2 linked regions of the Stegostoma tigrinum genome follow. The protein of the gene in region 1 binds, or shares a complex with, the protein of each later gene. Links are inferred from orthologs where the notes say so. Each region holds a gene or a part of one and is shown in the gene's direction. Other genes may lie near its edges.

Evidence for each region.
Region 2: the proteins of plekhm1 (region 1) and microtubule-associated proteins 1A/1B light chain 3C are in contact, whole or in part, in a crystal structure (PDB 5DPW), measured with the Homo sapiens proteins. The link is inferred for Stegostoma tigrinum from reciprocal best matches to the Homo sapiens genes PLEKHM1 and MAP1LC3C. Residues at the interface, in NP_055613.1 of Homo sapiens: Glu632, Asp633, Glu634, Trp635, Val636, Asn637, Val638, Gln639, Tyr640; in NP_001004343.1 of Homo sapiens: Phe13, Arg16, Lys17, Glu25, Ile29, Phe33, Lys36, Pro38, Asp54, Lys55, Thr56, Lys57, Phe58, Leu59, Val60, Pro61, Glu63, Leu64, Ile72, Arg76, Phe114.

The regions. Positions count from the first base shown.
Region 1 is NC_081384.1:31,550,694-31,557,848, forward strand, and holds the start of plekhm1 (pleckstrin homology domain-containing family M member 1), read left to right. Parts: upstream 1-4,147; 5' UTR 4,148-4,252; exon of another isoform or gene 4,253-4,351; intron 4,352-7,155. UniProt on the Homo sapiens protein: Acts as a multivalent adapter protein that regulates Rab7-dependent and HOPS complex-dependent fusion events in the endolysosomal system and couples autophagic and the endocytic trafficking pathways.
Region 2 is NC_081395.1:6,216,290-6,223,584, forward strand, and holds the start of microtubule-associated proteins 1A/1B light chain 3C, read left to right. Parts: upstream 1-4,282; 5' UTR 4,283-4,488; coding exon 4,489-4,546; intron 4,547-4,754; coding exon 4,755-4,810; intron 4,811-6,219; coding exon 6,220-6,326; intron 6,327-7,295.

The DNA.
Region 1 (7,155 bases):
AGGCTACATTCAACTGTTGTTAAAACGTTAAAATCCGCCCTCGGTAATTACCTTGAATGCTGCCACCACCAACCCCTTCCCCAACCACCTGAAAGAGACCTTAATTCTGAGTCACAGTTATGGTTGGAGACTTCACTGTTCCAATTTATTTACCTGGATAGTAATTTAGGAAAGATTAGAGGAATGTAAACCTGCCATAACTCCTGGGTAATTGTAAAACTTACGCACCAGCGTGCCCCTCCTCCGCCAACAATCCATTGATCTCCCAACTCTCCCTGAAGCCATCCCAAACCCACTCAACCCAAACTCCACAGTACATTCTGATTTTACCCCTCATGACCCAATATTCCTAATCCACTCCCCAACCTCATTCCAGGAAACCACTAACCAATACCATTCCATCCCGATGTCTCCCCAGCCCGATATTTCATTAAATCATACAATCCCTACAGTGTGGAAGCAGTCATTCAGCCCATCAAATCCACACTCATCCTCCAAAGAACATCCTACCAAGACCCACCCCATCCCTGTAACCCTGCATTTCTCATTCAAAATTTGTCCATCCCTGGACACTATGGGCAGGTTAGCATGGCCAATCCACCTAACTGCACATCTTTAGACTATGGGAGGAAACCAGAGAAAGCCCATGTGGATATGCGAGAATTACTAACTCCACATAGACAATCGCCGGGGACGGGTGGGGGCGGGGGGGGGGGGGGGGGGGGGGGTTCGAACTGGGGTCCCTGGCACTGCGATGTAGCAGTGCTAACCACTGAGCTGTTCACATGAGTTTCCCCAACCTGACACCCTGGCCCATTCTTACCAACATTCCCCCGATGAACTCCTGGCCTTGCAGCCCCATTGACTTGAAACTTCTGACCTGAAAGCTGATATCAGTCCTGCCTGACAATAACACCCCCAGCAAACATTCCCTCTTCCTGATGAAATACTTCCTGGCTAGACAGACACCTCAATCTAACCTGACTCCACAATTTCCTGACCTGGCACATCCAACCTGACCCAACACCCATCTCCCTCCACTACCCCAATCCATGCCACCTTACTCCTCACCCACACCTGCTACCAAACTCCCTCCCCAGTAGTCATTCGCTACCCTACGTTGCCACTCTTCAAACTGCAAACAACTTTAGATCATGCCAGGCAAAGAGATAAGCTGCTGAGTGATTTATGTGAAAGTGAAATGGCAAGCACTACGACAATGAACACACAACAACTTCATGATGAATTGGAAAGCTGAAGATGTTGTCGGAACATTTGAAAAGTCCCGACAAAAGTGGAAACTGGCAATCGTTACCTTGAACAAAATGGAAAGGATCAGCTTTTGTGGACAAGAAAAGTGGTGTTAAACTTGCAAAATAACTGACAGTCAAGTGAGGACGACACTGAAAATACAGACAAAATCCTTGTCGTATTTCGCATATAACCCCAGCCAAAGTCAACTCATTGGATTTAGGGCTGCATGCTGCCTCAGTGGTTAGCACTCCTGCCTCACAAGGCCAGGGACCCAGGTTTGATTCCACCCTCCTGCATCTATCTGTTTGGAGTTTGCATATTCTCCCAGTGTCTGCGTGGGTTTCCTCTGGGTGCTCTGGTTTCCTCCCACAGTCCAAAGATGTGCAGGTTAGATGGACTAGCCATGCTAAATTGCTCACAGTGTCCAGGGATTTTCAGGCTAGGTGGGTTAACCATGGAAAGTGCAGTGTAACAGGGATAGGGTAGAGGGGAGGGTCTTGGTGGGATGCTCTTTGGAGAAATGGTGTGGACTCAATGGGCTGAATGGCCTGCTTCCACACTGTAGGGATTCTATGATTCTATGATCAACAGGCATTTCAGAGCAGGAAGCAAGTGAGCCTGTTCACAATTTCTTAACAAGATTGAAAAATGCAACCAAATAATACAAACGCAAGAATGAAATGTCTGGATGTGATATTTTCCAAGGAAATATAAAATCATATAACCATTCCCATCAGGAGGGTGAGAAATAAGCCCACAACCATATATATAAAGCAGAAGCTCTATACCAGATTACAGAGTAATGGTATTCTGCTAAGACCAAACCAGAAGATTGTTCTAGGAAATTTGATAGAAACTATCTGCCCAACGATAGATACTCCGAAACTGACCAAATGTCATAGAAGGAACTGATTTTCTACAGCTCAGAACATCCCCAATCAGGGGAATCCTGGAGTTGAGCACTTGTGAAGAATTGCAGCTCATCTCAATAAATCATGAAATGAATAAATGACAGTGAGATTGAAGATAGTATACCCACTGAAAACTGCCCTCTGATCAGAAGTGAGAAATTGATTGCTTGGCTCACAGAGCCCTAGCTTTGGTAAATTCCATTGTGATGAATGAAAATATTCAAAAGCCAACTAAATAAGTTGCAGCTAATAAAACTTCCTGCATCTACCTCTTCCCCTTAATGTCAGCCAGAATGTCAACAGAAAATAGGTGAGATAAACAGAGAATGTAAAAGAGCACTTAGCATTGCTAATGATATCCACATGTATGGTGTTGATGCAAAAATCATGATCACCATATACATGAACCATGGAGAGAACCAGAAGAACTCAGATAAAGCTAAACAGAGAGAAATGCATTGCAAATATGACAGAACACTTGCTCTTCAGTATGCAGTACACGAACGGTGGAGTTCTAAAAAGATCTGTTATCTTGCAGGTGGAAGTTCCAAGAGACATGAAAGAATTGACAAGTTTCCTTGGTGTGAACCTAGACGAGTCTTTTCACACTTCGCCCTAAGACAATAAGATGTAAGAGCCAGAAGTAGGTAAATTGGCCCATCGAATTTGTTCTGCCATTCACTGAAATCATGGCTGATCTGATAATCCTCAACTACACTTTCCTGCCTGACTCCTATTAAGTCTTGATTGCCATATTTATTAAAAATCTGCCCATCTCAACCTTGAATATTCTTCATATCATTATGTTGGAAAGCACAGCACATCTATGAGAGCTGGTGACAAAAGATATTGAGTACTGGTGCTCAGCGTCACATCAGAGGAAATTCAAGAAACTTGCAATCGTAGCACAGGGGACAAGCCTTTGTACTACAATAGAAAGAAATCTGTTGTTTTGTAATTGGTACTTCCACAGAAGGACTAGGCACAGCCTTAGTACAATCGAGAAGATCGCTAGCATTCACATCCAAAACTTTGATATCAGCTGAGACCAGAAATGCTAACATAGAAACAGAACATTTAGCAGTTGTGTATGGATATGAGACATTCTGTAAAAATTGCTAAGGAATCATTGCACACTAAGCAAATGTACAAAAATTGTGCGGAACACCCAAAAGACTCAATGGTTCCTGAACTATCAACATTCTTTCTCCCCAGCACTCCAAACCCCCAAACCTCTCATTACTGCATAAATGTTATTCCCTCCACATTTCATTTCAGCTTTGAAGAGTCATCTAGACTCAAAATATTAGCTTGCTTTCTCTCCATGGATGCTGCCTGACCCACTGTGATCTCCAGCTTTTTTTCTGTTATCAGTACAGATTCCACACCTGGAGAAATTTGCTCCTCCAAGATTAAATGGTAACTTTCAAGGCTGTGGTGTTATAATTGCACTCTGAGATACAAGTGAGAAACAAAAGTGGGGCTGGCAGATGTCATACTTCAGTTATGGTTACAAGAGATACAAAATCTAGGTTTAAAGAACATCACCAAAACTATGTCAGATAGGAGGGGACGGTAGCAGTTACGAATAGTCCTGGTATAACTGATCCAGGCGTGGCCTGATAAAACATAGCAATCACAACTGACCACAGAGCAACATTGGTCTATCACAGAGGGCATCCTGGTGGAAGATGGGGCGGTGCTAGTTGAACTCAGTCCAATCACACCGAAAATGATGCAGAATAAAACTTCTCCAAGAAGGTACATAAAGGTCACATCAGAACTAGATGAAGCGCCATGGTTTTGAAAGTAAAGTTTGATTATTTCAAACTCTGAGAACAGTGACATGGGTAGGCGGGTGTAAAACAGGACTCGAGCGAATGGCTAGATACTGCAGCCTACCGCTAGGTGGAGGCCGTTCACCGGGTTGGGGTTCTCGCGGTGTGCGCTGGGATAGTGGCGGAGTCCATGGGAGGAGGAAAGTTGTTCTCGCGGTGTGCCCTGGGATATTGGAGGAGTCTGTTTTTGCGGTGGTATTGTCGTTTTGGCGAGGGTGTTGACAGCCTGAAAGCTTCGGATCTGCGGGGGTAAGGGGAGAAAAGATGGCAAGTGAAGCGAGTTGTGGGCAAGAAGAAGCGGTTTGGGTATTTGGGAGGAGCTGATGGTGTTAGAGGGCGTTGGGACAGGTGAGCTTTGAAGCCTCCTCGGATGGGTCTCGGAGATTTCAATTCCTTTATATCTCTGTATCTGTCACCCCGAAGTTCAGTGCCTGAGATCCAGCAGCCTTGGGCACCAACAGGAATAAAGACGGGAAGTTGGTTTTGTCAATGAAACCTCCTACTCCCTGTTTGTAATATCATAGCTAATCTGATCTGCTACGCTCTTCAAAGTTTCTCAACAGTATTGCTTTGTCGGATAAAGAGTTTTCTTAGTCTTTGGACATGTTTCTAAATTTCTGATTAGAGTTACGGTATTATTAACCAGACTATGATTTTTTTTATTTCAAATTAATGTTTTGGACACTCAGTTTACATATATTTATGATAGTTGGAGCCTCTGTGTTAAACTCCACGTCATAAGGAGCAAAGTTCTGGACAGTTTCAATTTCGTTAAACTCTTGATAAGTTTTTTTTCTTTGTTCAACTTCATTAACACGCTGTAAAGTTGGGAGAAAAGAATCGTGAAGGCTGCCTTGTTGAAATTCCTCTATTGCTTGACACTACTACAGACGAGGAATCTGCTTGGTTCTATCATTCTTATTGGAACTGTGCCCTGCTAGGTTTGTTGATTTCAGTAAGAATAACCGTCATCATGTCTTGTACTGGGGAAAAGATGTGCTCATATCACTGGTCTCTTAAACAAACTCTATTGGAAAGACTAACGGTATGTATGTAACCCTTCAAACCAGGAATCAGCCTCCTTGTAGTCAAATAGCTCACTTGCTTTATTAGGGAGCCAAGTTTTGCAAAGACTTGTGGATCTGTACCTCAGCAAGTTGATAACACTTCATGAGAACAGGCAGTTAATTGGCCAATAAAATTACAAAAGAAACAAGAACAGAATGTTAGAGGAATGCGGCAGATCTGGTAGCATCAGTGGAGGGTAAAACCACTCCCCAGTCAGTTTTGGACTCAAAATGCTAAATCTGTTTTCATTCTACAGGTGTTGCCAAACCTACTAAGTTTCTCCAGCACTTTTTGTTGCAGATATCCAGGATCTGTAGTTCTTTGTATTTATATTAAGGAGAAAAAAAATATTGATTTATTAAGTCAACCTGCTTAGTCTGTCCTTTAGTTAACTTTTAAATTGCTGAGTTGTGGTTGTTGGCAGCCTGGGGTCTTCTGTACTTTAATCAAAATTATCTGATATTTTTAATCATGGCCATGAAACATTGGGTTAAGCATTGCCTTCTGTTTTCATTTAGAGGCTTTTAAAATTCATAACTTGAATTTATGACTTTTAGGGCCAATTTTTTATTATGCAACAGCAAGGATAAAAAAAATTCAATCAGTAGAAAGTTCTTTTTCATGTAAACTGTAATATACTAAATAAACGAATCAGCCTCCTTGTCACTGCTTCCAATACAGCTAAATCTTTCAATCAGGAAGGCAAACTACACTGATCCAGGTGTGGTCTCACCAATGCCCTGAATGAAACAAGGTTTCTCCGTTTTTATATTCCACATTCCTTTATAACAAAGGAAACAACCAATTACTTCCCTAAATACTAGCTGTATGTGCATGCTAATTTTGAGATTCATGTACACTCAGATTCTCTGAACTGCAAGATTCTGCTGTTTTCCCTCTACTTAAACAATTCTACTTTTCTATGCTTACTGCTAAAGTGGAACGTTTCACGTTTTCCCACGTCATTCTGCATCTGCAATTTTTTTTTGTCATTCGTCTATACCCCTTTGCAGATATTTGTATCATTTTGAGGCGCTCTACTATCCACTTGATGATCAGCAAATTTGACTATAATATAGTTGGCCCCTTCATTCGCTTATATAGAATGCAAATAGTTCAGCTCCAGCATTTATCCTGAACTACTCCATTAGTCATTGTTTATTAACTGCAAATGATTCATTTATCCTGGTTCTCTGTTTTCTATTTGCTAGTCAGTTTTCTATCCATGTCTATATATCACTCCAATGAGCTCTGATCCTTTGAGGTGAAATTTTAAGTGGCCGTAACAACTGATTTTTGGGAATTCACTGCAAGGCTCCTACATCCTGTTTTAATCGCAGTACAACATTAGCAGAAAAGTTTACAGTCAAGCTAAAATCTGTACCATTGTAAATTGATGCTAATGTTAACTAATAGGTAAGAAAGATATGAGCAGCATAGTTGCAGTGTGGTTAGTACTGCTGCCTCAGTGCCTAGGAAATAAAAATCGAAAGAACTATGGATGCTGTAAATCAAGAACAAAAACAGAAGTTGCTGGAAAAGCTCAGCAGGTGTGGCAGCATTGGTGGAAAAAAAATCAGTTAACGTTTTGAATCCAGTGACTCTTCCTCATATTTCTTTCAGGTGCTCTAGTTTCCTCCCACAGTTATCCCATAAAGATGTGCAGGTGAGGTTGATCGGCCATTCTAAATTGCCCAGTAGAGACCAGGGATGTGAGGGCTAGGTGGATAAATGTGAAATTACAGGGATGGAGTGGGAGTGTGGGTCTGGATGGGATGCTCATTGGGCCAAGTGACCTCTTTCTGTCATGTAGGGATTCAATGATTCTATAAAATAGAAATGACCTGAAAAGGCAATTTTTCATGGTGTTAATTCCTGCAGAAATGCATAAAAGGGCTGCCGTGTAGGATACTCGGATGATTAAATGCTTGTGTGTTGCTTAATTTGTGCAGTAAGTGAAGTTTTGCAATTTAGTGGTGGTAAGAATCTGCTCTTTAATTTCCAATAAGGGAGCAGACAGGATTGACATAGGTCTTTTCCTTTTTTTTATGATGCAATAATGAAATGGTTTTCATCAGTCACAA
Region 2 (7,295 bases), on another chromosome or scaffold:
GGTGTGTGGAGGTGACATCCTCCCACACACCACATACACTCTCTTTCCCAAACAGTGGAGGATGTGGGAGCCAGTTGTCAATTTTAAATCTGGGATAAATTATTTCCTTATTGAGAAATTTATTTAAGACTTTTATTTCCCTTTTATTCAGAGATCTGGGCCAAGCTTGATGGGCTGAATAGTCTACATTTCTTCCTATGACTGGCCCCATCCCCAACTCATAGAATGCCTACAGTGCAGGTAGCGGTCATTTGGCCCAGCCTGGGCCCCTGAAGGGCATCCCACCGCGCACACTACAGCATAGCTAATCTACCCTAGCTTGCACACCTTTGGTCTGGTGGAAGCTCTTAGATGAAACACACGGGAGAATGTGCAAAACTCCCTCACAGGCTTCTGAAGAAGGGTCCAGAACCAAAACATCAGCTTTCCTGCTCCTCGGCCTGCTGTGTTCACCCAGCTCTACACCTTGTTGTCTCAGGTTCTCCAGCATCAGCAGCTCCTACTATCTCCCTCACAGACAGGTGTCCAAAGCTGGAATTGAACCCAGAGCACTGTGAGGCAGTACCTGCTAACCACGGAGCCACCATGCTGCCCTGCACTGCCCTAGGGTATCCTGTGGGGATATAACAGTCCTGGGCGCTCACACAACAGTGGGAAAGACACAAAGTAGGATACTGAATGGTCTCAGAGGAACTGGAGGAACACAGCAAATCATTCAGCATTGGAGGAGCAGGAAAGTGGACGTTTTGGGTTGGGACCCTTGATCAGATCCTGGCTGAATGGTGTCCTTTCTGCTAACCCATTGTTATTTTGTGTCCCCATCCAAGAGGTGAGGTTGTGCTGCACACAGAGAGGTGTTAACTGCTTAGTGCCAAAGGAAACATTCTGAGTAGGAGGACTGTCCATGTTGTTTGGGCAGTGTATTCTCAAGGGATGCCGTTATAATTTTTTAAAACCAGATATGACTCAGCTCCAGGGCAGACGAGTCTTCAAATTAGGCCTCCTGGCTCAGAAGCACAGTATTTACTAATGTGTCACAACCTCCCTCCTCTGTCAAAATCTGCACATCACAGTTTGATTTATTTATGTAAACCGTCACACTGCAGTTGCAGGCTGCAGCCACCGGGTGGTGTGGTGGAGCAGCACTCCCCTCAATCTGCTGCAGTCTTTGAGAGGATGAGAATATTCACAGGAGATAGTAGGGGCTGCAGATGCTGCAGAATCTGAGATAACACGGTGTAGAGCTGGATGAACACAGCAGGCCAAACAGCTTCAGAGGAGCAGGAAAGCTGACGTTTCAGGTCGAGACCCTTCATCAGAAATGGGGGAGGGGAAAGGGATTCTGAAATAAATAGGGAAGGGGATGAGATGGACTGAAGATGGATAGAGGAGAAGATAGGTGGAGAGGAGAGTATGGATGGGGAGGTAGAGAGGGGATAGGTCAGTCTGGGGAGGACAGATGGGGCAAGGGGGCGGGATGAGGTTAGTAGGTGGGAAATGGGGGTGCAGCTTGAGGTGGGAGAAGGGGATAGGTGAGAAGAAGAACAGGTTAGGGAGGCGGGAATGAGCTGGGCTGGTTTTGGGATGCAGCGGGGGAAGGGGAGATTTTGAAGCTTGTGAAGTCCACATTGATACCATTGGGCTGCAGGGTTCCCAGGCGGAATATGAGTTGCTGTTCCTGCAACCGTCGGGTGGCATCATTGTGGCAGTGCAGGAGGCCCATGATGGACATGTCATCTAGAGAATGGGAGGGGGAGTGGAAATGGTTTGCGACTGGGAGGTGCAGTTGTTTGTTGCGAACTGAGCGGAGGTGTTCTGCAAAGCGGTCCCCAAGCCTCCGCTTGGTTTCCCCAATGTAGAGGGAGCCACACCGGGTACAGTGGATGCAGTATACCACATTGGCAGATGTGCAGGTGAACCTCTGCTTGATGTGGAATGTCATCTTGGGGCCTGGGATAGGGGTGAGGGAGGAGGTGTGGGGGCAAGTGTAGCATTTCCTGCGGTTGCAGGGGAAGGTGCCGGGTTGTGGTGGGGTTGGAGGGGAGTGTGGAGCGGACAAGGGAGTCATGGAGAGAGTGATCCCTTCGGAATGCAGACAGGGGTGGGGATGGAAAAATGTCATTGGTGGTGGGGTCGGATTGTAGATGGCAGAAGTGTCGGAGGATGATGCGTTGGATCCGGAAGTTGGTGGGATGGTATGTGAGGACGAGGGAGATTCTGTTTTGGTTGTTATTGTGGGGACGGGGTGTGAGGGATGACTTGTGGGAAATGAGGGAGACACGGTTGAGGGTGTTCTCAACCACTGTGGGGGTATGTTGCAGTCCTTGAAAAACGAGGACATCTGAGATGTTCGGGAGTGGAATGCCTCATCCTGGCAGCAGATGCAGCGGAGGCGAAGGAATTGGGAATAGGGGATAGTATTTTTGCAGGAGGGTGGGTTGGAGGAGGTGTATTCTAGGTAGCCGTGGGAGTCAGTGGGCTTGAAATGGACATCAGTTTCTAGGTGGTTGCCTGAGATGGAGACAGGGAGGTCCAGGAAGGAGAGAGAGGTATTAGAGATGGTCCAGGTGAACTTAAAGTTGGGGTGGGAGGTGTTAATGAAGGTGTTGGTGAATATTCACTACCTGTTATTATGTTGGGAACGGGGAGGTATCAGCAGTTGGATTGGAAGGGGCAGAATGGAAGTACAAGGCTATAGGAAACTGCACAGGAAGGTCCCAGCTTTGCAACCAGAATCTTATCAGCAGTATTAGGCTGTTAGTGACAAGATGCTGCATCATTCAAGCAGAATCACAACTGGTAAAGAAATGTAGGAAGCGATAGACTACAACTCCCCACAATCCACTCCTCTCCAAAATGACTAACTTACTCCCACCTCACAGACAGAGAGTTCTTGGGAATTTCTGCTTCCTCATCCAGGCTCACAATCCTTGTCCAGAGGGAATGCCGCACTGTCGGAGGATCAGCGCTGAGGGAGCGGGCACTGTCGGAGGGTCAGCGCTGAGGGAGCGGGCACTGTCGGAGGGTCAGTGCTGAGGGAGCGGGCACTGTCGGAGGGTCCGTGCTGAGGGAGCGCCGCACTGTCGGAGAGTCAGTGCTGAGGGAGTGGGCACTGTCGGAGGGTCAGTGCTGAGGGAGTGGGCACTGTCGGAGGGTCAGTGCTGAGGGAGGGGGCACTGTCGGAGAGTCAGTGCTGAGGGAGCGGGCACTGTCAGAGGGTCAGTGCTGAGGGAGTGCTGCACTGTCGGAGGGTCCGTGCTGAGGGAGCGCCGCACTGTCGGAGAGTCAGTGCTGAGGGAGCGGGCACTGTTGGAGGGTCCGTGCTGAGGGAGCGGGCACTGTCGGAGGGTCAGTGCTGAGGGAGTGCTGCACTGTCGGAGGGTCTGTGCTGAGGGAGCGGGCACTGTCGGAGAGTCAGTGCTGAGGGAGTGGGCACTGTCGGAGGGTCAGTGCTGAGGGAGTGGGCACTGTCGGAGGGTCAGTGCTCAGGTGCTGCGTAAAAAGAGTAGGGGAGATGCTGGGGCTACAATTTGGGTATATCTTCCTCGCAGGACAGGCTGAATGGCCGCTTCCCTACTGTGAGCCCCACATTCTACAGGAAACCACACCATCATCACACCAGATCCTTCAACGAACTTCTAGTTGACCTTCAATGAAATGTAACAAATTAACTAAAACCGTAAGACGTGTGGAAGTCAGAAACAGAAATTGCTGGAAAAACTCAGCAGGTCTGGCAGCATCTGTGTAGAGAAAGCAGAGTTAGCATTTCGTGTCCAGTGGCCATTCCTCAGAATTTTGAGGAAAGGCTGAGAGAGCTAGGGCTTTTCTCTTTAGAGCAACGAAGGATGAGAGGTGACTTGGTAGAGGTGTACAAAATGATCCGAGGTGTAGATAGAGTGGACAGCAAGACACTTTTTCTGAGGGTGGAGGTAGCTATTACGAGGGGGCATGGTTTTAAAGTGAATGGGGGCAGATATAGGGGAGACGTCAGAGGTAGGTTCTTTACTCAGAGAATGGTCAGGGTGTGGAATGCATTGCCGGAGAGGGTAGTGGAGTCGGCCTCATTAGGGGCATTAAAGTGGCTATTAGATAGGCATAAGGATGATAGTATAAGGTAGAGGTGGGGGTCTGATAGACCTTAGGTTTGGAGTGAAAGTTCGGCACAACATCGTTTCTATGTTCTGCCAAATCCACTGAGCTTTTCCAGCCATTTCTGTTTTTGTAAATAAATTAATTACTTGAAACAAGACTAATTGGTAAACGCCCCTTAAAGCAAGACTGATCGACCTGAAACAATACTCCAGCAGAAACTAATGGCTTAAGTAAATCTTATTGTCGATGCCCGACTGTTTAACTGGTTAATTTAGAGTGAAGATTGGGGTTGCTTGGACGGGATGTTAAAACACGCGGGCTGGTGGCTGAGGAGGGGCAACGAAAGCATTTTTGTTCCCTGTTGGGAAGGGAGAAAAGTTTCTTTTGGAGAAAGGCATGGCTCCCTCAGAGAGGACCCTGGATTGTAGACCCTTCAAGGAGAGGCGTAGTTTGGGTGAGGGGTTTTATTCTTTTTAGGAAAATCTTCCTTATCATGAAATGCACGCGTCAATTCCACTCTATTTCCAATCTGTTTTTAAATCTAGTTCTAAACGCCTTTTGTTTAAACTTGCTTCTCTTTTCAGTCACTTCAGAATTTTGTTTAGAAATCAAATTATTCACGTTTGTTTGTTTTTTTTGTTGTTTATTTTGTTTTGCTTAAGCTTTCAGGAGAAGTGAAGTAATTAACATCCGCAGGAAGTACCCCAACAAGCTACCGGTCAGTCAAAAAGCTTTTATTATTGTTATTTAAAATGTTGAGAGGTGGAAGGGGGGGCGGTTAGTGTGCCAGGAAACGGTGTACAGCTGCAATGTGATCCTCCTTGCTTTTTCTTAGTTTAAATCCCTTCCCTTCTGCAAATGTGAAAAGAATAATCGATTAAGTCTACCCTCTGTGCACGACTCTAAACCTGTTAGGTCCTCACTACAGAGAACTTGTTAACGCCATGACGTTTGCTTGTTTTTAATATGTAACTTTGCACCAGCCAGAACACGCTACACTCGGATAAGTGCGTATTTACTAGGACGATACTCTTCCCGGATAACAATCTTTCCTGTGTTTTTATTCAACACCAGGGTATTAGAATTTAAACATCAAGTGAATAACCAAATCTGCTTGTATTTAAAAACTCCAGGACTTATTAAAGCTAATGTTTGCCTTGTTTCTAGCACCACCACCCCCGCCCCCCCAAAAGAAACTGGGAACTGTCACCTTCTGAGGTGTTCCGTACAATGCCTTGAGAAATAAACAGATCCCTCAGGGAGAGACTTAGTCAAAATTCCACTTACGGAATGAGTCAGTAATAAACCTGGAACATATTAAAGTTAGAGCCACAATGACTTGATTTTCAAACCTCTTTTGGGTCACCTAATGCCCCCCCTTTCCTTTTAAGGGAAGGAAATCTGCCATCATTATTTGCGATTCCAAACCTACAACCTGATCCAACTTTTTGCCCTTGAAACGAATCATTTTCAGTTCAAGTAACGAATGTGGTTTGGGACAGTGTTTTAATGCGCCCAGAGGAGGTGCTGCTGAGCTGCCTTCACGGTATCATTCCACGGTGTTCCAGGATTTTGTCCCAGTGAGGCTGGATTCCTGTTCCCAAGTCAGGACGGTGCATGGCTCAGAGGGGAATGCACAGGGGATGGATTCTGTAGATGGTAGAGCTTATAGGTTTGGAAGGTGCTATCTAAGGAGTTTTGAGATCTTACAATGCATCTTTTGTAGGTGGTATGTAATACTGAGTGCCAACTTGGGGGGCTGCTTTGTCCTGGATGGTATTGAGTTTCTTGAGTGTTGGGGCTGCCCCCATCCAGGGGCAAGTGGGGAGTATTCCATCCCACCCTTGCCTTGCAACGGACAGGTTTTGGGGAGTCAAGAGATCGGTTACTCATGGCAGGATTCCCAACTTCTGACTGGCTCTTGTGGCCAGGATACTGAAAAGCTGGTCAAGTGACCTCTTTCCCCCAGAATAGTAGTGGATTCCAGTTTTTCCTATCCATTTGGCTAATCCTACAGGAGGTGGAATGGGAGTAAATGGGGATTTTTGGCCCCTGCAGATAGAGTTGGCATTTAGTGACTGTTCATGGCATTTTGAATGTGTGTATCCTGATATCTCTATCTCTCAGGTGATTGTGGAACGATACCCAAAGGAGCGATCCCTACCTCATTTGGACAGGTCAAAATACCTTGTACCTCTGGAACTCAGCCTATGTCAGTTCATGATCATTATCAGGTACAGCTGACCCTGTTAAATCTCCCATAACCACTGCTCTCCTCCCAAGGATTAGAGGTCATGGGGAGGAAAGAGTGGGCACCTGCTTGAGGGAGGGGGAGATGTGTAGGGCTTCCCAATACCCTGGATGGTCTTTAGGACACTGGGGAGGGGGCTGAGTTGTAGCGACTGACTGATTGGCCTCTTGAAAAATCTCAGTGGGTCTGGCAGCATCTGTGGAGGAGAAATCAGTTAATGTTTTGGGTCCGGTAACCACCTCTTCAGGACTAGTAGCTAGGAAAAGGTCAAATTTTATGCATAAGATAAAGGGGGGAGGGTGGTTGAGGAGTAAGTGATAGGTGGAGACAGAGCCCAGAGGAGTGGATAAGGTGGCTTGGGAGGATGACAGATAATGGGGATTATTTAGTGGCATGTGGATTTATTGGGACTGAAGCCTTCGGTTCTGATCCCTCTCCTTACCAGCTGCCCGTGAGTAATCTGGTCTGTTTGCAGTCTTTGTGTCACGCTTGGCCCCTGAGATAAGTGCCTGATGTCCCTAAGGACACCCTGTCTCCCAGTTCATCTGCTGAAATCCTCACTCCTGCCCCTATTTTGCCTCTAATCAGGATGATGCCCAACTGACTTGATTATCCAAATTCAGTCTTTAAGTCTCATCAATCTCTGGCAATTTAGTTCTCAAGCTAATGGTCTTGTTTTCCTGTTTCCTTCCCCCCCACCCCCTGTTGAATCAGGCAACACCTGAATGTTGAAATTCTCCACTTGTTTTCAATTCCTCCCAGACCACTTCCCAATTCTACACTTTTTTTTTCTGTAACCTTCTCCAAAGCTTTCCTTGACCTGTGTTCTGGAATTCCAACTGAATCCTTTTTCTACATTGCAATGTCTGCTGTCCTGACCATTGACAGCAGAGGAACCTTGCATCCCTGAAACATCTCCACCTATCTCTAATGCAGCTCTAACTCCCACCAC